Arabidopsis thaliana: one gene and its partner. The protein of the gene in region 1 interacts with the protein of each later gene in a pairwise test. Each region holds a gene or a part of one and is shown on either strand. Other genes may lie near its edges. The genes, in order: LBD13 and GSK1.

The links.
Region 2: the proteins of LBD13 (region 1) and GSK1 interact in a two-hybrid assay, tested with the Arabidopsis thaliana proteins (one large-scale study listed by BioGRID).

Annotation. Positions count from the first base shown.
Region 1 is NC_003071.7:12,930,316-12,941,014, reverse strand, and holds LBD13 (LOB domain-containing protein 13), read left to right. Parts: upstream 1-8,186; 5' UTR 8,187-8,474; coding exon of another isoform or gene 8,475-8,488; 5' UTR 8,489-8,561; coding exon 8,562-8,858; intron 8,859-9,196; coding exon 9,197-9,709; 3' UTR 9,710-9,843; downstream 9,844-10,699. Other genes in the region: CHAL (allergen-like protein), read left to right, coding at 193-438; SIP4 (SOS3-interacting protein 4), read left to right, coding at 2,443-3,750; AT2G30350 (Excinuclease ABC, C subunit, N-terminal), read left to right, coding at 5,273-5,412, 5,606-5,744, 5,867-6,000, 6,085-6,778.
Region 2 is NC_003070.9:1,941,098-1,954,212, reverse strand, and holds GSK1 (GSK3/SHAGGY-like protein kinase 1), read right to left. Parts: upstream 7,468-13,115; 5' UTR 7,354-7,467; coding exon 7,249-7,353; intron 6,091-7,248; coding exon 5,998-6,090; intron 5,785-5,997; coding exon 5,725-5,784; intron 5,640-5,724; coding exon 5,367-5,639; intron 5,278-5,366; coding exon 5,203-5,277; intron 5,129-5,202; coding exon 5,072-5,128; intron 4,899-5,071; coding exon 4,758-4,898; intron 4,647-4,757; coding exon 4,596-4,646; intron 4,489-4,595; coding exon 4,393-4,488; intron 4,276-4,392; coding exon 4,192-4,275; intron 4,065-4,191; coding exon 3,963-4,064; intron 3,883-3,962; coding exon 3,796-3,882; 3' UTR 3,363-3,795; downstream 1-3,362. Other genes in the region: ARA-2 (Ras-related small GTP-binding family protein), read left to right, coding at 1,527-1,747, 2,695-3,124; AT1G06380 (Ribosomal protein L1p/L10e family), read right to left, coding at 8,325-9,089. UniProt on the Arabidopsis thaliana protein: Phosphorylates BSK1, BSK3, BSK5, BSK6, BSK8 and BSK11 in vitro. May mediate extracellular signals to regulate transcription in differentiating cells.

The DNA of each region.
Region 1 (10,699 bases):
TCACTAGAAGATACTAATTATTGAACGTTAATTAGAAAATACTAATTATTCTTGATTAACCATATTGTTTGGTTTGTTTTACTAGATGTATTATCCTAATGAAGAAAATAATAAATTAGGATATGTATACGTTTGAATATATATTTAGTAATGAAAAATGTGATAATATGTACGTTTTGAGTATGTGTTCAGGAGGAAGGCAAGAGTACCGTAGTGATAAAGAAGACTAGGAAGATCGGTGACCGGAGCAAGGAGGCAGAGCTACGGAGGATTCTAAGGGGATTGGGCTCATCTCCACCACGGTGCTCCTCCAAGTGTGGAAGATGCACTCCGTGCAAGCCTGTTCACGTTCCGGTGCCTCCCGGCACGCCTGTCACCGCCGAATACTACCCGGAAGCTTGGAGATGCAAGTGCGGCAACAAGTTGTACATGCCATGATCTTTTATAATATATATACTCACATATATACATTATATATATGAATTATATGCATGTTCGTAGTTATATCTTGCCTCTACTCCAAATATTTATTATACATTGACATGTTGCTAGGACAACCTCAACGTGAAACTTTTGCTGATAAATTGATTGATGATGCTCGTATAGACGATATGACGTTCTTAGCATATGATTTCGTATATGGTGACATAATTCATGAATAATATCAACATTTGGTGTCAAAAGGAAACATATTTCTTGTCTTCTTCTTCAACGTACTTGCTTATAATGAACAAAAAATAAAAAAACGTACTCGCTTTCTAATAAGTATCACATAGGTTTAGGCTCATAAACATATGGACTAACATAAATAAACCAAAAGCCCAATAACATTACTCTTAGCATATACATATAAGTAAACTATTAACATCTGTCTGCGGGACTCGTTGATTTCATTTAAATTCTGTAGTCTCAGCTCGTTCAATTTAATCTATTCGTACACACTGATAATATTCAAGAAAACATATGCTAACGTATAACGTATTACGTATCCAAATACACCTTACACCACTCACACATAGCCCATATATAAAAGTTTGAAGGATTTAAAGTCGCAGACTCGCGGTCATTTTTTTTCTTTAAAGTCGCAGTCATTGACTGACTGATTCTTCTTTCTTATTGAAAGGTTTTTTATGTAAAGACGAAAGTTTAATCAGGATGTGAATATGGTACGGCCCATGTTCTTTATTCCTTTTTTTTTTTTTGGTGCAAAGTTCTTTCTTATTCTATGTTAGAAAAATAATCAAATTACCGACGCGAGCAAAGGTTATTATTTCCTGGCTATTAGTCTATAACTGATAAATAATTAGTCAATCAGATCAAACAATAGAGAAATAATTAGTCTGCAATCAGCGATTATTAAAAAATAAAATAAAATAGAAACATATCTCAGCACCGATTTTTCAACAGCCGGCCCACGATCCAGAACCGTCCAGCTTGAAGCCGGCGCCGCGTCGACTTGTTCCACCGTTCGGATATTGCCACGTGTGTGAGAGACACCTGCCATTACCTCGTGGAACATGTTTTGTTAGTATAAGTTACTAACCAAGTCGCTATCTTCAATTCTTCATTACCTAAGAGTTGAATAAAAAAACAACCATATACGATGAGACACGCAAATAACTGATATACGAAACAATTATTTATTGATGTACATTCTTCTAACTATAATACTACAAGATTCTGAATAGTTTTAGATGTAAAAAGTACGAGAAGAGTTATGATCAGAGTAAGTTAAGTGATAAGATCATGACACGTAGGCAGAGGAAATAAAGTAGAAACTATCGACAACATAATAATTGAGTGAGTACAAAAACCACGTAATAATTAGGTGTACACTGTAGTCTGTAGATCGATTGTACAAAATGAAAAAACTATATGATTTAAGGAACTAGATATACATATGCATCGACTCAAGAACAGTTGCTTTATGTGAAGACTATCAATTACATTATCGGCTAAATTTGGCTTCATGTGTTGAATAGATGGATTGTGTGCTCAGGTAGTTGTGTCAGTTAATTATAACAGTAAACCTTCACTGCTTCACATATATAAAATTTGGGTTAAAAAAACTTTAACATTTTATTTTTTTAATTGACAACAAACAAATTCTGTAACGGTTACATATAATAGTGCTTCAGTTAAACTCCTTTTTTAGGCAACTCTAATTCCTTTATACCCTTAATCCATTATTATTCTATCGAACTTATCTTTTTAAAAGCTTCCGCGTTACGCCATCACTTCTCCACCATTTAAATACCTAAACCACTTTCTTTCAAATTTCTTATTCCATAAAAAGTAAATTCACAACAAAACCAAAAAAAAAAAAAGAGAAGAAGAATTAGCTTACGTGTTCATCACATCTGCATTACGCGCAAACGAAACAGATTCAAATTCTCCGGCGAAGTTTTCTTATTCATCAATCAATCTCTGGATTCATCAATCATGCCAGAGATCGAGATTGCCGCCGGCAGCGGCGACAACAACGACGCCTTATTCGGTAAATATGAGCTCGGAAAGCTTCTCGGATGCGGCGCATTCGCCAAAGTCTTCCACGCACGTGATCGTCGTACCGGCCAAAGCGTCGCCGTGAAAATCCTCAACAAGAAAAAACTCCTCACAAATCCAGCTCTAGCCAACAACATCAAACGCGAGATCTCAATCATGAGAAGATTATCTCATCCAAACATCGTCAAGCTCCACGAAGTAATGGCGACAAAATCAAAGATCTTCTTCGCAATGGAGTTTGTTAAAGGAGGAGAACTATTCAACAAAATCTCAAAACATGGACGTCTTAGCGAAGATTTAAGCCGGAGATATTTCCAGCAACTGATCTCCGCCGTTGGTTATTGCCACGCTCGCGGTGTTTACCACCGCGATCTCAAACCAGAGAATCTATTAATAGACGAAAACGGAAACTTAAAAGTTTCCGATTTCGGTCTAAGCGCGTTAACGGATCAGATCCGACCCGATGGGTTGTTACATACCTTGTGTGGTACTCCGGCGTACGTTGCGCCGGAGATTCTATCTAAAAAAGGATATGAAGGTGCTAAAGTTGATGTATGGTCTTGTGGAATCGTCTTGTTCGTTCTCGTCGCCGGTTATTTACCGTTTAACGATCCGAATGTGATGAATATGTATAAGAAGATTTATAAAGGAGAGTATCGTTTTCCTCGTTGGATGTCTCCAGATCTGAAACGATTCGTTTCTCGTCTTTTAGATATTAATCCTGAGACTAGAATCACCATTGATGAGATTTTGAAAGATCCTTGGTTTGTTAGAGGAGGTTTTAAACAGATCAAGTTCCACGATGACGAGATCGAAGATCAGAAAGTGGAATCGTCACTAGAAGCTGTGAAGAGTTTAAACGCGTTTGATTTGATTTCTTACTCGTCGGGATTGGATTTGTCGGGATTGTTTGCTGGTTGTAGTAATTCGAGTGGTGAATCGGAGAGGTTTTTATCGGAAAAGTCGCCGGAGATGTTGGCGGAGGAAGTGGAGGGGTTTGCGAGAGAGGAGAATCTGAGGATGAAGAAGAAGAAGGAGGAAGAGTATGGGTTTGAGATGGAGGGGCAAAATGGGAAATTTGGTATCGGGATTTGTATTTCGCGGTTGAATGATTTGCTTGTGGTGGTGGAGGCACGGCGGAGAGGTGGTGATGGTGATTGTTATAAGGAGATGTGGAATGGTAAACTCAGGGTTCAACTTATTCGCGTTTGCGATCAGACGTCGTCAACAAACGCGGCTATTTAAAAGAACGCTATGAAGTTTTCTACCGTGCTTTCAATTTTAAAACGCCAATCGCGTTTCGTTGGTTGGATTTGGTTTCTACTACTTTTGTTTCGGAATTAAAAACAGAGAAAAAATAATAAAAATTAATGTATGTATTTAAATACTGTACCAAATTGTAGGTATCTATTTTGTGCTTTTTGATCAATGTGTTACTATGTACAACAACAAGTCTAAAATTGCATTTGTAGATACTTCACTCTTTTGTATAATGTAGAAAATGTTCTTCTATTTATAGTTTGGATTTTCCAATTTTACACATTTGTACATAACTACTTTTTAAAATCAACCATGCAAATTGTATTAAGTTAAAGTGCATGATAACCAAATCAGATTAATAACCAATGAATTGAAAATAAAAAGTAGATAAATTACTAAAATAAAATAATCTCTAAATCGCATAAACTCATCTAAACTCTCAAAAATCCATACATTACACATTTTTTTTTTTTTCAAAAAGGCTTTCAATTCTATACATTTTTCTGCTTATCAAATATGGCTTCTTCACTTTAATATTTATGTATAGAATTGAAAGCATTTTTGAAAGAAAAACTTTGTGTAATGTATTATTGAACAAATGAAATGATTGAAATGGGAGTTCCACATCCAGTGAAGAAAAAGCATTAAAAAGTATGTATAGAATCAGGGAACTTCAAAAATTGAAATCTGCAGCTTTATAAAAAGAAAAGCTATTATTGTCTACTTGATTGGATATTACAACTCAAAACGAGTGAAGGTTAAGGAATCATTATCATTATTAAAGCATCATCATAAGCACCAGCCTTTTGTTATTCTTCTCATCATTTGTTTGGCCAATTTAAAATTTTAATTAATATCATCTCACCATAGTTTCTGCCCACCTTTTGGTTTTAGGTGCAAATGGAAAAACTCTGGCAAATTAGGTTGTTTGGTGTGAATTAGGAAAGTAGAATGCTTATTGAATATTCTTGACTATATCTAAACTCTCTTTATTCACTTGGGTGATTTCCTCATAAAAATATTATTGTACCAAACTCTCTGAAATCAAAGTTTACTATATAGCTAAAATAAAAACCAAAAACTCTACTAAACCAAAGTTAAGAATAAATTCTTTATTAGAGACAAACTCAAAATTGAAAACCATCATTTATTGTATCTGAAAAGTAAAAAGAAAAAGAGGATATAATATGAGGAGAGATTATTTGAAAGCTGAAATTTTAGTTGCGGTAAAATTTGACATAAGTGAGCAAATTTTATAAGCTCTAAAATCAATAGGAGACCTATCACGGTATCACTATCATGATGGGTAACAATGTCATGTGAACCAAGTAAAACAAAATACAGTATAGGAAATGAATTATAAAAAATTGGGCCATTATAAAATTGGGTCATTGAATACAGTGGGCCTTAATCATACATTTCGGCCCATTCTCATCCTTAAGAGATAAAACGGATTTTTTAGTGTAATAATCTGTCGTCTTCAACGGTCGAATTGAATCCAAGAGATATGAGAGAGAAAAGGGGAAATCGGAAAGCCCTAGATCCCGTCGGTGAGGATGGAGTCACCGGAAAAGATGGAAAAGGCTTCTTCGCCTGTTATCTCTTGACCTCTCTTAGCCCTCGTCATAAGGGTCAAACCTATATCGGGTACTTGTTTCTCTCATCTCTGATTTTGGAATTGAAGATTCTGTTGGATCAAATTCGATTGAGAAAGGATTTACATTTTCTGGGTTTATCTGATTGAATACTTAAATTTGATCAAATAGGAGATTTTGAGTGTTTAATAATCAGACTATGAGATGTTTAGTGATTGATTGCATAAACTGGGTTTGGTTGGTAGGTTCACTGTAAACCCGAGGCGGAGAATAAGGCAGCACAATGGAGAGATCACTAGTGGTGCTTGGAGAACAAAGAAGAAACGTCCATGGGAAATGGTTCTCTGTATCTATGGTTTCCCCACCAATGTCTCTGCCCTTCAGGTCCTTTTGCTACCCTAAAGCAAAAGATTCCTTGCCAAAAGATTCTGTTTTTACTTCTTTTGTTCTCCAGTTGTGGCCTCGCTCTTGAATGTTTTGCTAACGTAAAAAAAACCTTTTTGCAGTTTGAATGGGCTTGGCAGCATCCGAGAGAATCGGTTGCAGTTAGAGAAGCTGCTGCGGCTTTCAAATCCTTCTCTGGGGTTGCTAGTAAGATCAAGCTTGTATATACAATGTTAAATCTTCCAGCTTGGAATAGGTAAGGAAGCTTCTTGTTGTTGTTGCTATGCTTTGGTATCCATTTTCTTATAACTTATATGTCTCTTTGTGTCTTGTTGATCAGTTTGAACCTCACGGTTAATTATTTCTCGTCAAAGTATGCACACCACGGTGGTAAATCTCCAAGTTTACCTTTACATATGAAAGTTCAAGTTTGTGCTATGGAGGATCTTCAGTATTTCACAAAGGTAGATGACAGTTCTCAACCCGAAGATGAAGAGAGTCCCGAGGTTAATGAAGAGGATGATGATGATGATGATGATGATAGTAGCAACCTAAGCCAGCCTGGGAATTCAAATACAAGCTCATCGGATGACCGGCATTTTGAAAAAGCGAAAGAACCTGTAACTGTATTTGATGAAGAAGACAGATTAGCAAATTTCAGTGGTTTTGGCTTATTAGATGAAGAAGAGACTGTTGAAGATGAAGTATCACATATCACTGTTGGATCCATTAGAGCTACTGAGAAAGAACCCGAGACTGTATTCAATGACAGATTAGCAAGTTTCACTTGTTTTGGCTTAGTAGAGATTGTTGAAGATGAAGTATCACATGGAACTATAGGATCCACTGAAGCTATGGAGAAAGAGTGTAGGAAAAGAAGGAACCATATCACCTCAACGACGACTGAGGTTGATGTAGAGGTGATAGATCTGATGACTCCATCACCAAGCTGCAGAGCTGGATCATCTATGAAGAGACGAAGAGTTTCTGAGTTTATAGATTTGACTATGTCTCCTAATTTCATAGAGTCGTAGAAGTAATACACGAGAATTTGTGTGAAAATCAAAATCAACTTTGTTGTAATTTTCTTTTATATCTAATAAAAGATTTCAAACCTTTTGAATCTGAGTCTCTCATCTTCTTCCAAGAGCCTATTCATGAATCGTTTTTTCGTAATTTCTAACTTACGTCGCAAAACTTAGGTTCTTAAACGACACTTAATTTAAAACGGGGGAGTATGTATTTTGTGTTAGTGTATATCTGTTGTCACTTTATGATTTCAAAAGTATAATGAATATTGTTGTTGATTAAGAAAGAAAAATCCATATTGTTAGTCTCCAAATCTCCATTATTGCGTAATCTAAAGTTACTTAGTGGTGCTTTCTAGTTTCTAGTTGCACCAATTAAGATTCACCTCAACTTTTGGTTCTCAACAGAATTGACACAACTTCTGCGAATACATGTTATAACAAGGCAACAAACCCTTTCGTAATAATACTATTTCATAATTATTTTAGTTCCAAGATATATGTCCACATGAACATCAACATTTACACTTGAGAAAAGGAAAATTCGTTTACCGATTATCGAAGAGTGTGAAATTGATGAGATCGGCAGTGTCCACATGTTCTCGATGTTGATTGTTGACTTTATATTTTTGTTCAGTCATGCATATCAAAACGTGAGCGTACTTGACACTAGAGAAAAAGAAAATTAGCACGAACAATAGTTTTGCAATCATGGTCAATGATTTAAACTATAAACTAGTTAAGCATTTAATTTGGGGTTTTAGATGTAAACATCCTTCACGTGCAATCACATGTCCAATAGTATGCATTTCTTTCTTCTTTTGTAACCATTGTCTTTTGTATATATATCGTGTTAGATTTTTTCTACAGCTTGACATATTTCACATTTAGTAGCAACTAACACGTGAAGAGGTTGACCAAAGATAAAACAACGAAAAAAGTTCGTTGTCGCCCATTTTAACATATAAAATGAGTAATATTTATAGCACCAAAATTAGTCTTTTTAAGGATTAAAATTTATTTTCTACGGGTACTATTGCTAGTTGCTACGTTTAAACCATAATCTGATTGAGTCTGATCAAATCGGTATGGTTCATCGTGATTGTAGAAACCTTGTGCTTGCTCAAATACAAGGACTGGTACAATTGCGCAATGTTTTGTTTAAGTTTTTTTTTTTAATCTTCAACTAACTTTCTTTAACCACCTACTCTAATGTTTATATATATTATGAATGTTTTGATCGTGGGTCGACCTTATTTAAATTAAATCACCAAAAAAGCTATATTATTATGGTCTTCTTCAACCACATATCTTTTAGTATCGATTGTTGTATTTTTTAGTAACAACATGCAATATACAATAACAAAAGTTACAAAACTTACATATATAAACCATTAAGCTACAAAATTTTGGTCCGATACTACTTATGATCTGTTCCAAATCTCGAGCTTACTCATAACTCGAATATTGATAATTAATACCTTAACGTACAAGAGCAGGACAGTAAGACTTCTTTAAACATATAGTATACAATATAATTAAGTATAGAAGTCTATAGATTTTCCCTTTTAAATAAAGAAAGATCATTTAATTCACCCTAATGACTCTCCTTATTAAAGAAACTCTTCTTCTTCTTCCTTGCTTCTCTTCCTCCTCCTCCTCCATTGATACTCTAAAATAAACTTATAAATAGCATGCGTGAATGTCCCGAGAAAGGTAAAACTAAATCAACATATATACATCTATTTACGATCTTTTTGATTGATAAATCAAATCGGTGGTGGTGAAAATGATTGGAAACAACAGGGAAGGATTTGGAGAGTACTACGAGACCGTCAAGAAGATAAAGAAAGATCCAGCCTTCGAGACAACGACGGATCATGCCGTGATGGGAATCAGGAGACATGTGGCGGTGCCTCCGGGGACAACGTTGAACACCGTAACACCATGCGCCGCTTGTAAGCTCCTCCGCCGTCGTTGTGCGGAGGAGTGTCCTTTCTCGCCTTACTTCTCGCCGCATGAACCTCACAAGTTCGCTGCCGTTCATAAAGTCTTTGGTGCAAGCAACGTCTCCAAGATGCTTCTGGTACACATATTTTCTACATTAATGAATATTTATTTTCTTTTCTTAGTTAAGGTTTCTTAATTTGATTACTCTTTTGATATCGTATTTGATTAATCTGAATATATAGTTGAACGGATCTACCATTTTTGATATTTGACTCTTTCCAAATATATTCAAAACATATATTTATCCCATTTGTTATAGTCGAGGTGGTTTATCTAACTAGTATAGGTAGAAATTCATTATCCTAAGATGCACATACATACTAAGATTGAGTATTGGTAAGTTATTTACTTTTCGTACATAATATTTGATTGAGCTATATGTATATTAACTTATGGAATAAGAAAATGTTGTAGGAAGTGGGAGAGAGCCAAAGAGGAGACGCAGCAAATAGTTTAGTATACGAAGCAAACCTAAGACTTAGAGATCCAATCTACGGTTGCATGGGAGCAATCTCAGCTCTTCAACACCACATTCAGTCTCTTCAATCCGAACTCACGACCGTCCGTACGGAAATCCTACGCCACAAATACCAAGAAGCCACCACCATCACTTCTCTCCAAAACAACTTCAACAGCACTACAACAACTTCATCAGTGAGTTGTGATCAGCATGCTCTCGCCTCGGCGATTCTCCTCCCACCACCACCGCCACCACCTCCTACTCCACGACCACCAAGGTTGTTGTCCTCTCAGCCAGCTCCACCGCCTACGCCACCCGTTTCTTTGCCATCTCCGTCCATGGTTGTGTCGTCCTCTTCATCTTCTAATTCATCTGCCACCAATTCTATGTATAATCCTCCTCCATCTTCGACGGCTGGATATAGCAATTCTCTGTCCAGTGATAATAATGTTCATTACTTTGATTAAATCAGAATTCTGTGTTCCTTAATTTTTTTAAAATACTATTATAGCCCTTATTATAAGCTACGAGATTGAATGGTGATCCATGTTAAAGATAGGGTTTTCAACTTTTGATTTATTTTATTTTTCATATTGATTAATGGGTTCCATTACCATACTAACGTACGTAAATACAATGGTAAAGAATCTTAGTATCATGAGGGTATTACTCATGACTCATATGACAATTTTAGTAACCAACACGAAGTTGAAAAAACATTTACACAAAATAACACAATTCCACATTAAATCAGAATCAGAAATCTAACATATTGTTAGTCCTGAAAATTGAGAAATTCTACTAATGAAATTATGAGCTTATAATTATTAAATTACATGAGAATTAACATTAAATGGAGGCGTTGACTAAACATATAAATTTGGCAACGAGCATTCCCACGTACCTCTAATTGTCATTAATATATAAATATTAAATATAGTTTTTAATTAAAGGTATTAATTGATCAATTAATTAATCATAACCCAAACAGAATCTATTTATATCCCATAACAGAGTTCCAGAGTCACCACATGACGCAATTACATACATATAGTACTAGTATTTCTTGATTACACAGTGTCCCACAAGCTCTTAATAATTTACATTAATGTTTCTTAATCTCAACCATTACCTACAGGCTACAGCTCATGTTTTGCTTGTTAACATACACAATGTATTCTATATACATGTATGCAGTATGTATATATTTTCTTAGATTTTTATAAATACTATTTTGTAATTCTGCTATATAAAAGTATAATATATGATATATCCATCAATGTATAACTAAAATTTGTTACGAAAAAAATCTTTTAAAAAACACTAGAAGTTTTTTTTTTAAAAAGACTTAACAATAAAACTTTGTAGATTTTAGTGAGATTCACTGAAGATCAAACGATTTTCAGTTTTTTTTAAAAGAAATTAGTAAAAGTTTGGTACTGAGAAAATGTAGCTCT
Region 2 (13,115 bases), on another chromosome or scaffold:
TTGGTTTTAGCTATGATTATTTACTGGTCAAATCGAAGGGGCTTAAGACTCTCCTCTGGTTACATTTAAAAGGAATCGAACGACCGTCACCGAGTCGTTGCTTTGCTTCGCTGTCCACAAGTACATGTCATTAAACAACGTACTTGAGGACCAATTGGATTTGTCCGTGACGTAGAAAGAAGGTGACAGCCTCAGTGGTAATAGCACTTCCCTTCCGTTTAGAAAATTTGGATAAGGCTAGTTAGCCAGCCGGACTCGCACTATTGCCAGCTGGCACGAGTACACCAATGAGTCCGTTACGCGCGAGGAGAAGCGCGTGGAGGATCGGACACGTGATATGGAGAAAGAACGTGAGGACGCGTGATGCCGTGTGCGATGCGATGTGTGGACCACTTTTGGGGCTAAAATAGCTAAGTGACTTACCAAACGTGTCTAGGACCTCGTTTTGGACCGTTTGACACGTGTCGAAACAGGGGACGCTTTTGAGCGTGTGGTGAACCAGAGTGATCAAGTGTCATACGTTTTTGTTTTGGATGGTATTCGTTAGTGGAACAGGAATTAATTAAAAATGGAAGCATATGGGAATAGATTTATTTATGGTTAATGTTGGTCTATAAAAAAACAAAGACTACTCCGTATGAAACTAGTTGGTCAAATTAATTGTTGGTTGCACATTGTCTAATATTGTCTTTAATGATTGATTAGTTGTAGGCTTGCAGTTACAACCTCGATAAGATTTTTGTGTTGTCAGATTGTAGTTGTTGTGATTTTTAAAATTGTACCTATATGTGAATAAATATATTGAGAAAACAAAATATATATACATGAGTCTAATTAGGATGATGTTATTGAATTATTGGGCTTTCAAGATTTTCCTTAGTAGAGAGATGGACCAGAAATGTTTTAGCTATTCTTTGTGTATGTTGCATAAGTAACACGATTGTTCGGATGGAGCAACATTATAGTAAGGTGTTATGTGAACCGTAGAAAGTTTCTGAGTAATACATAATTTCAAAAATTTATAATCTAATAAAAAAGTAAACTTGATATTTTTAAAAATCAATACAAATATCTCTAATTTTATAAACTCTCCAGGTTGCTAGCTAAGGAGTAGTAGCTACATTCATTGAAACCCAAACTTAAGAAAATGAAAGTAAATAGTATCTTCATCCTGAAGATAAATTTTAGAAAAGTAGGTGTATACTGTTTATTGTTAATCTTGTTAAATTGTAATTAGAAAACTGTATTAAGTTAAAAATGATTATGTTGTGAGTGGAAGTTGTTAACAATATATGGAGAAGATTTCCTAAAATGTGCAACTAATTAAGCGGAATCATCTTTTTAAAAATTTAAACTTTTTCTGTTCAAAAACAAAAAGAAGAAGAAAAAAGGGTGATTTAGAGCCAACCCGACAAAAGCTTTCATCGTCATCATCTGAATCATTAATTCATTATCATCAAATAATACAGCAGCAAGCAACACAGTAAAACCCAATTCCCTAATCCCAAAATTCGATCTCTCATCTGATGGCTGGTTACAGAGCCGATGAAGAGTACGATTACCTCTTCAAGCTCGTGTTGATCGGCGACTCTGGTGTCGGCAAATCGAATCTGCTCTCTCGGTTCACCAAGAACGAGTTCAATCTCGAATCCAAGTCTACTATTGGTGTTGAGTTCGCTACCAAAACCACTAAAGTCGAAGGCAAAGTCGTCAAAGCTCAGATTTGGGATACTGCTGGTCAAGAGAGGTCAGATTACGTTTCCTCTCTTGCTTTTTTTTTCCTGCTTACTTTATTGAAAATCCTTAGGATAAGGTTTTAAAAAACCATCCTTTTTGGCTCGATTTCGTTGTTGAGTTCTTGTTGGATTCGCTGTTTATGAATTCATGGTGTTTGATTTATGTATCTGAATCTGTAGCCTGATTTGGATATTACAAGTTCAAAGTGTCTTGTTCATTTTTCCTTGTTGGTTTACTAGTTACGACTATTTGTGGCAGAACTAGAGTTTTCTGGTTTTCGGAACGAAACTGGTTGTGTCTGAATTTGTAAATCTCTTAGACTTGAGCAACTTTCAATATGGTTCAGAATCTCAATTGTGCTGAATATCGCTCGCAGGCTGCAGTTTACTCGGAATATACTTTTAGGTTTTATTCACATTTGGGCTACTAATGGTTTTCTTTTGTGGCATAGCTTCTGTGTTTGTAAGATTCTTGTTCATAGATCTGTATCCCTCATATATGGGTCTACTTGATTAGCTTATTCAATCCTCTCCTGTCTAGGTCAATTCCCGTTGTTAAAATGTTGTTTGTAGATATCTGTTATCTAAACCTCGGTTACTATACTAGTATTGTGCTGTTCCATCCGTTTCACACATTGATATTTGTCTGAGCTCGTCTGTGATGAACTTCTGAACCCAATATACTTGTTGAAAACAACATTTCTTTCATCTCCTCTGTCTTGTCTTGCACTAGACATAGATAACATTTTGAATTTTGCAGCAGAATTCTTCATTAACTCTGCGATTGTAACTTTACAAAGTAACCATTTGGTAGATGGATACCATGTAATATGGTTATCGAAAATAGTCTAACTTTGTGTACTTAATCTGTAATGTTACTGAACTTATTATTGTAGTTGTTATTATATCTTTGTTAACAACATCTGAGAAAATGCTGGTTTTGTTTATGCTATGATAGATACCGAGCAATCACAAGCGCTTATTACAGAGGAGCTGTTGGTGCTTTGCTTATTTACGACGTGACAAGGCACGCAACATTTGAGAATGCAGCAAGATGGCTAAGGGAACTAAGAGGACACACAGACCCAAACATAGTGGTGATGCTTATAGGGAACAAGTGCGATCTGCGTCACTTGGTGGCAGTCAAAACAGAAGAGGCTAAAGCCTTTGCTGAGAGAGAATCCCTCTATTTCATGGAGACTTCAGCTCTAGACGCAACCAATGTTGAAAACGCATTCACGGAAGTGCTCACTCAGATCCACAAGATAGTGAGCAAAAGAAGTGTTGATGGAGGAGGAGAGTCGGCTGATTTACCGGGAAAAGGAGAGACGATAAACGTTAAAGAAGACGGATCGGTTCTTAAGAGAATGGGTTGCTGCTCTAACTAGAGTGGGGGGATTGTAGATTTGGCTTGATTTGGTTAGGGTGAGACAACAAATGATAATCTCTTTGGGTCTTGCAATCAAAAAAGAAATAAGAAACGATTACTTTTAAGATCATGTGTATGCTTTGGTAACTTTGGCCTGTAAGGTCCTTTAAAATTTAAGTACATGATTGGTAATTTGTTTTCAACACTCCCACCACTTGTAATTTGTAAACTTGTAATAAACTGAAGAAATGCAAATCATCACCTACGTAACATTTCGAAAATAGATCTAGCGACTTTTAATTTAAGAGGATGATTATTTATCCCTCTAGTCTTTTGTGTTGAGAGAAGAAAACAAAAAAACATCTGTAGCTAATCTTTTGGACATGACATGGTTTAATATTATCACCTCGTTTTTCTTTTGTCTCTACGTATCTGTCAGAATTGTTTTACAGACAAAAACATATACAAAAATACACGAGGAACAGTGTCTCTCTCCACTCTCCAGGCTACGGAATAAAAAAAAAAAAAACGCAATTATCAGCATCTGATTTCTCAAAAAGCTGAATATGACTTTACTACGGGTATAGAAGCTGATAATAGTCGTGGTTAATATACTGTTGAACCTGTCAACTATCAAATAAAAGTAGTAAACCTGCTTTTCTCCTCTTTCTCTTCAGACATGCACAGTTTTTAACTGTTTTGTAATCCTGTGCTCATTTGTCGTCTCACATGCTCAGGTATTAGCCTGTTGATTAGCTCCATTGAAGCTCCACCTAACTGTTTCCACATCCAAAGAACAAATTGGGTTATGTTGAAGTTCCACTAAAGAAACATCATCCTTTGCTATTGATTTTTACCTCTTGTTTGAAATTGAACAATGGCGGTAATGGACGACCATTTGGAAGACGGGCGTTTGGCTCTCGGAGTTCATTGAAAAACGGATGAGCACATGCTTCGAGCTAAAAATAGACAGAGAACAAGACAAATGTTAAAATGAATCTTAGCTTTATCCAACACTTGGAAGATTCAAAAAGAGTTATCACTGACGACTACTTTCGATTATAAAAAAAAGAGGGAGATACTGACCGCAGTGCAGCGTAGACTTGGTGAATATTGAAGAAGCCGAGATGCAAGGTCTATTGCTTCTGGAGGCATCCGTTTATGAAAAACCTGGAGGTCAAGGGTACAGTATATGGTTGATGCTATAAATGAATCGCTTCAATGTATACTGTGTAGGTAATGAGTTCAGTAATTGCTTAACCAGGAACAAAAGGTGAGATGAACTACCTTGTGCCAAGGGTGAGCTTTGATTTGTGGGAACCTAAAATCTGTGTAGTTCGGGTTCATACATCGAATTTCTTCACGAGTTGGAGTACCAAGAACCTAAAACAAGGTAGCAAGTGTACTTATGGTAACATATTTACTAGATTCTAGTCTAATACCAAAGACAAAAAAGAGCACATCCATTAGTCTAATAAAGGAGACTTCACCTTTATGATCTCCACAAGCTGATCAACTGAATTTTCTCCTGGAAATAACGGCTGTAGAGAGAGAGAGAGACTGGCTTAATATAACATTGGGTGCGCACTTTTTGCATTTTGCAGAGACTCTTTATTTAACAAGGTAATTAACGCATAAAAATCCACACTAACCTGGCCCAGAAGAAGCTCTGCCAGTACACAACCAGCAGACCATATATCTATGGATGCTGTATACTCTGTGGCGCCAAAGATCAGTTCTGGAGCACGATAATAACGGGAGCAGATATATGATATGTTTGGTTCACCTTTGACCTAATAGTGAATTACCAAAAATTTAAAAGGGTTACCAAAACAGAGAACATGCTGCTCGCACTTAATGGTATAACTCACACTTATATGGTAGCTCAGTGAACTAGATGCGTAGATACATAACCAAGCCGAAAACACACAAAAAAGGTGAGATAATGAAAAGATAACACCCTTACCAATACTTTTGCACTTCCAAAATCACACAGCTTAACCTGATGGGTCAAGGGATCAACCTACAGTATGCACCAGAAAGTGAGATCCAGAAATAGTCAAGATTACAAACCACATGGCATGCTAGATAACGTACCAAGAGATTTTGTGGTTTCACATCTCTGTGGCAAACACCGGGAACAGTATGGATGTAAGCCAAACCTCTAAAGATCTGCACAATAGATATTTCAAATCAGTTTCAGAGTAAATTCTAATAAATTATAATATTTGTGAGAACTAACTGCAAATAACAGTACATACTTGATATGTGTAAAGCTTGACATAGAAAATTGGCATCCTCTGATTAGAACTAGTATAGTGCCTCAAAACCCGGTATAAAGTCTCAGGTACATACTCCATAACAAGGTTGAGGAAGAGCTCATCTCTACTCGTTGTAGAGAAGAAACAGTGCTTCAAGGAGATGACATTTGGGTGATCCATTGGTCGCATTAGTTGCAACTCACGGTTTTTATAGCGTCGATCTTGCAAGACCTTTTTAATGGCTACTGATTCTCCAGTTTCCAAGCATTTCGCCTAAAATCGTAAATTTCAGACTTGATCAGAAAGAAAGAAGAGAATTTATGTCCTGGAACCGCTAGTACAGAGAAGCACAAAATACCTGAAAAACAATCCCGAATGAACCTGTTCCAACAACCCGCTCAGCCATGTAACTAATGGTCTGTAGGGGACAGAATGAAGATCATGTAAGGGAGAGATGAATTAATTTGACTTGAAAAAGGGTTTTAATGGGAAAGTAACACTTGCTGGAGCATTTGATGCGAAATGAATAACCCAGACCCCGCAGAAACCTTACACATGGTACTGTGCTATAACCGTAAGTGTTAACTACTAGTTAGTTATCTAAGAGATTTTGCAAACATTAGCATCAAACCTGCTTTGGTTCGCCGTTTTTGCCTCCAATAGTAGTGGAAATGATATGACCAGTAACAGCGTCATTTCCCTCAATAACAGCTGCAGACATTTCCTGCAATCCACCTCACATATTAGTATAGACATTAAACTATTTTGATCAACTACAAGGTGGAATAGAGATGGCAAGCATTTACTGCATCCGATTATTTCAACAAACCTCAGGATAGGTATGACTGTATGAGAATGCTGTTATTGCTATTATACAAGTGGTCGGAATTAACTTATATTGAAAACGTGAAGCTAACACATATAAAATGTACCAACTAACCAGTTGTCAAGCCAATAGAAGCACTCAAGCAAGATGCAGAAAGAATAAGAAAAATAAAGTAAAGCATGGGTTAACCAGAGGTAAACAATGGTGATAGAAGTTCAAAAATGTAGTGATTTTAGACGTCAAACAATTTATGGGTATTAGATATAGAACAAAAAAAAAAATCATAGATACAAAATACAAGTCAATGGAAGAAGTTCTGCCAGAGTGAAGGACAAGCCATAAGACAAAATTCAGAATAAATGTCGATGGCAAATAGAAAAGAGAGAGAGACAGAGACAGAGAAGCAATGGGCCAAGAAAACCATAACTAAAGGAATACTCCGAAACCTACCGAGAGTGAATTCAGAGATCTACAAGTAAACTGTACTTTGTAGAATGAACAGTGTTGAAATAAATAATATCCAAACAAGCAAATTGTTGTACTTGAAAGTGAACAGTGTTGAAACAAACAATCGAAATATCCAAAAACAAATATGAAGGGGAAATATTCAACCTAGTTTACTGAAAATGTAAGTTTCCCAAGCGCAAGAAACTATCTCAAATTATTTTACACTAAATTTTTCAACAAGATTCGAAGATTACTGCTACTTAGATCTCCGGTAGAGAAGGTTGAAGTAGTAGCTGGGAGATACCAAGAGTAATCTAGCTACTGCATGCATACAAATGAAGTAAAAATCACAGTCTCCTATCAAAACGCCTCGTCGGAGAAAGAAACAAAAAAACTCTCCGGTGAGCTCAGATCAATACAAGCGACGAACAAACACAAGAGCACGAGAATATAGATCGATTCGACTGAACTAAGACATAGAACAAAGAAAGTAGGAGCTAGATCGGAGTAGATCTAGAACAGCCACCAAACGATAATTTCAAATGCACTGTTTACCAAACACAGACGGTAACAGTAACACACAAAACAAAGAGACGGGGAGAAATAAACCTTATCAGAATCCAATTCAGGACGGCGTTTCAAAGCGTCGCCGTCGTGAAGCTGCAGCGGCGGAGCAAGAGCATGAGGCTGAGGCCCCAATGGTAATGAGGCCATGTGCTTTTTTACTCTTTTCTCTCTCAACCACTGAACAATGAGTAAAGTCTAATTTTTCCTCTCTCTTTGCTTCTAAATTTCAGAAATGGTTCAAAGACAATGGAGGACCCACGGAAGACTAGAGCGCGTGAATGTAACGGTCCAATGAGAAAACTACTTTTTAATTGATAAAGCACTGAAAAATTCTGATAAACACTTCCTTAGCATTTAATGATAACTAAATTACTAAGTTGAGTTAGAACTCCATTAAATATTCTAACTGAATAATAATGGTATCAAATGAATGAATACTCCAATCATATTTCCCAATTTAGATATTAAGCTTAACTTAAAGAGACTTTTCTTTGTCCCTTTAGCCTGAAGTGTTGCCTTTGTAAGACAATAGTTAACGATAGATTCTTTTTCATTACACTAACCAACAAAAGAATTACAGTTAGCATTCATACAAAGATAAAATTTAAGTTGCAAAGGGCTAAAAAAAATGACGATGAGACTAGTTTACGAAAATGTAAGATTAACAAGCAGTAGTGGGGAACGTAAACTATACAAAAATAAGACTCTGAGTCAAAGGGATTGGAAAGTGAAAAGATATATAACCGTTACTGTGATATCGAACAAGAACAATTGTCAAACAAAGAAAGATCAATGGAATCTACCTTTGTGGAGAGTAATTCAATAGAGTAGGAAAACTAATATTCTTTCCAATACATCACCAAAAACCATCTTTTTTAGAGAATTCATGTGACTATATATCTGCATAACAAAAGAAGATACCAGTAAAATCAATCAAAAGACCCACTCATGGAAATTTGTATTAAAACCATCTGTTTCACTCTAATCAATCTAGACAGTTTTGTTCAGTCTAGGCATTATCTTAAACATTACAGCATCACAAATTCCACTAAGAAAACAAACCAAAACTTGTGACTCACTGGAACCAGATCATCCATCAGCTTCTTTAAACAAATTCATCAAGCAACTGATTGATAAACAGGCAATGCCAAGCTCTCAAGTAACTTGAGATGAAACAATTTAACATTCTTCCATCTACCAGGAACTAAATCACCAATCCCATTCATGGCCGCTACAACATTCTCTGCAATCTCGTTCCTTCCCATTGACAACTTCGCTACTTTAACAACACTGCAAGTACCTGTACCAACGAAGAACAAAGCTGATTCACAAGCTTTTTCGATCTGCTCTTTCCAACTACCATGCCTTAAGTTAATCGCAATCGGAGTCTTATTCTTCTTAACAAACTCTTTCCCCAACAGCTTCGGCAACATCGGCATTAGCCTCCTCTCCGCGAAATACAACTCGAATCGCTTCTCCTCCTCTAATTTGCGTAAATCGGATTTCAATTTGGAGACTTTAATAACTGTGGTGATTGGAATCTTCTCTGCTTCGATCTTCTTCAAAGCCGCTTCCTTTGTGATTTTGTTCTTGTGTTTGTCGTCGATGATCAAACAGAGCTCCGGCGGATCTTCGGCGACCAGATCGATGAGAGGATGAGGAAGAGGGATCATCAAGGGGTTAGTACGATCCAACTGAGGGATTCTCTTCAGTGTCACGATTAGATAGACGAAACCGTCGTTCTCGAGTGATTCAGAGTTCTCGGTCTTGGATTTGGAGTCCCACCATTTTAGCAGAGACTTCACGGCTCTGTTAACGTTCTGCGGGTCAACCTTCGACTGGTGTCGCTGCGGAAGTGCAGCCGTAGTAGTAGTAGTACTCATTCTCCGGTGAGAAGACGGCGCAATGAACACAGGTTACGTTTGCGGAATTAGGGTTCTGAGCAAAAATTATAGGGTTTACGATTTTTTTCTTTTTTTTTTCTTCTTTCGACATTTTATTCGATTTTTTTTTTTGTAAAACTCAAAAATTATATGCGTTTTATTAATGATGCGCCACTTTATCCTTTTTTCTGGGGGTAAAATTGTCATCTGCTCAATCGTTTTCTCTGACCGCCGGCGAAACTCTTCGCGCTTCCCCGACTGCCGGCGAAAATCGACGCTGCTTCCCGTTTCCGGTTAATTAAGAGCTTTCCTCTGTACCTCTTCAACTCATTGTAGGCTGCGTCTTCTTCAATGGCAACAAGGAAGCGGAAGAACGCTGATTCGTGTAGTGACGCTCTTCTAAATCAGAGCGAATTCGATCTCCGAGGCAGATATTCTTATTCAATTATCTCAATCCCTTGGCACCGTATTCTGGTAATGTTTCCAAAATAAAGATAAATTGCAATCGCTTTAATTTTCTGATTTTGTGGTGAGTGATTGAACCTGTGTCAATTCTATGCTGCTGAGTGTTTCTCAGGTTGATCATAATGGATAGGTGCGCCGTGCGGTCATTTGACATTGCGTCCCATTGTATAAAGTTCTTCATGTGACGGGCCTTGATACTACTTCCTACGTAATGGTCAGTATACTTCTTCATTATTTTACAAGAAATCTTGAATTGTGGTATTAACAATGTGTTGTTACTTTTGCAGATGATGTAAAAGCTTTTTTGGTCTACTAAGAAGATAAAATTAGAACCTGTTAATATTGATTTTGAATATAGGCTTCTCCAAAATCTGATGTTACTGCAATTCCAATAAGATTTGCCTAGGTTAATGACGAACAAAGTGAAGCCAGCTCACCATTACACTATGTTGATAGTTCCTAGTTCCTACTATGTTGAGAGGTTGATGTAACCGGAAGTGAGTTAGAGATCCCAGATCCCTCTGTTTCCTCTTTATTCGTTTTTGCATTTTAACTCTGCAGCTGTATTCTTTAATGTTAGTTTTAATGTTTTGTATTGAACATTTCATTGCGCTTACTAGCTTCTGCTGTGTTAGGTCTTTGGTCCTCGGTTTCACCTGTCTGTTGGACCGTATGATATGCTGCTCATGGGTCATTGTGCCTCTCAATTTTCTGAAGCTTCCTCTCATCCGGTGGAGACTATTACGGAACTCGCTCATGGCACTGGTACTATTTCCTGTCATGCTTTTCACTTTCACACTTTTTTTCATTGCGGGAATTATCAAGTCTACAAATCAAAAGCTTTTATCTCTTATCCAATGGATCTTAGCAGATATATACAGCATACTCTGCCATAAGTAATTCAGGTAATATGGATGTACTTGAATAAATGTAAACTACACATGGGAACATCTTTTCATTGTGAATTATGTTTTCCATGTCGTTTACTCTGATTATGAATGACAGGTTTGTGCTGCCTGTGTTACCCATAGCTTTGATATTCTCTGGGTATACATTTGCTCAAATGGAAGCATCTGATTTATCATCAATCATTAAAGAGAAGCAAGTCCCTGGAAATAACCATATCATCAAGTGGTCTCCTAAACTAAGACTTCCAGTCTTCATTTTGCCTGCTACCAATATCCCGAGGCACTACACATGAGTTTATTCTATCAAGTTAAAAAACTAAACACTCTAGTTTATGAGTTACTCTCTTTTTCTTTCTTTCTAATTGTGCTAAAAGGAATTCTTGTTTTCTCAATGGACACGAACCAAGGATGCGATGTACAGACTTATCGGAAAAAAGGATACAAAGGGAGAGTAAAGAGCATTCTCTCTCTCATGCCAAGCCATTCGACTCCTTATTATTATTATTCCACTCTCCATAGTAACATTCCAATGCGATTTCTCGACTACACACCAAGGTAAATGGATCACGCCCCTGAGTCACAGTTTTTGCTTCTATGCGATTCTTAAGGATTCTTCTTCTTATTATTTTGAAACAGCGAAGACATTAGGAGATTTTGATGAGTCAGACCAATTCTTAATGGACCTTTTAGGATTGGCATCAAAGTTAGCTAGAAATTGGCCAGCACGACCGCGTCACATATTATTGTTTGCATCGGAAGCAACAAAACTCAGAGGTTTTATGATCCACTATTCCTTCCAAGAGGCAAGTTGAAAAGCAGGACCACCATTTTTTTCCAACGCTGATGTTATTCGTTTAGTAGACTAAAATCTGTTTTGTTGGCAATGAAACAGGTCAAAAGTTTTTTCCACACACATTTCAAGGTTTATAGATACATCAAATCAATCCCCACTAGTCATCTATGCTAAAAAATACTGACTCGGTCTAACTTCGCGTGTAGCTTTTTTTTTTTTTTTCCTGTTACCAAAAAACACCTTGATGTTATGGTGTTTCTGTCTGAACCACATGAATGCACTAGTTGATCAGGTCGGTACACAAGTTAAAAAAACGAACTCAACGAAAATGTCAAAAATTCTCAATTATTCTATTTGAGTTTTATTTTGAATCTGTTTTACTCTCTTAGATCATATGTTCGAGTTAAGAGCTTTTAATTTATAGCCCCGCGAAGTTTCATGATCAAATCTCAACAACTTTCAACATCAGAACCCAAGAAAAAATAAATCATGTTTTGGATCAAGGAACGTTTGTTGATTCTCATATATGTCTGGTTTTCCTTAGGGATTGATGCCCACACGGAAATTAAGTTGTCTATCTACCACAAAAAAAAAAAAAAAAAAAGGTAGCTACCACATTAAATTTCTCTGGTTACGTACAATCAATGTTAAAAGATTTGTTGTTTCAATGTAGCTAGGTCTCACCTATATATGGATTCCTATACGGGGTTTTTACATACCGTATATACTGTTTTGTGAGTTTGAACTTAATACTAATTGACAATATTTATATATTAACCCACGTACGTTTTTATATTTCATGCTACTGCTATAGAGATTTCATCATTAGCAATATGAAATACCATTCTTCAATGTTTAATTATGAATTTATGATCAATCAAAACTGTGTACTTGCAATACAATACGATTTAACAACGCTAAGTGATGTGACATTATAACTGTGGATCCATCAGATATATCGAAAACAACAGTCCTGCAGATCGTATTTTTTGTGGGATTGACTAGTTTCTTGTAGATTAACATATTGCTGGAAATTTAATTTTAACTAGTTTATAGTTTGTTTTGTCCCAAAAAAAAAAAAAAAAAACTAGTTTATAGTTTGTTACGTTGAATATTATAAGTTTAATCGATATTATCGGATCTGTAGAACGCTAAGCATTATGAATGCCGTAAAACGAATCTTTTTATATAGATGCGCATTCAATTATTTTTCAATGCGGTGAGCGTAGGGCAGTTTGGTAGTTAGCAAGACTCATAACCTGCGGCCACACAGGTTCAAATCCTGTCCCCACAACAACATTGTTTTCTAGATTCCATCATGGTTACTACACTAATAAAACGAGTGACGAGAACTCTTAACATTGTATTGAAAATTAACTTCTTTTGACACTAATAAAACAATCTTATACAATTTTCATAATTAGAGGTAATTAAAATTAGATATAATGTGTTTACTAACAGTGTTGTATTTATTTCATATATAATATTAGTTATATATATTTCTTTAGTTACTATAAGTATATATGGAAAATGTTCCTTTTTAATTAAGAATACTTGTGGTTCTACTTTTTCGTGTCTCCAATCTCTAATATTACTATACTATATATAGAAGCTTTAAAGAAGCATTGTAAGACACAACCACAACAGACAGAATTCAAGTGCATTTCCATGTGACACCAAAGGAAGTTGCCCTTTTTGAAAATATCACTAGTTTCCTATAAAGTTTTTTTCTTTTTTCCCTTTTCTTTTGATTCCGATATATATACGACCTTTTTTATTTTAACTTTTAACATTTAACTACAAAATTGAGGATGAATCCAAGCAAAGCAACTGGAGGAATTGTGGAGGACTTAACCAAAC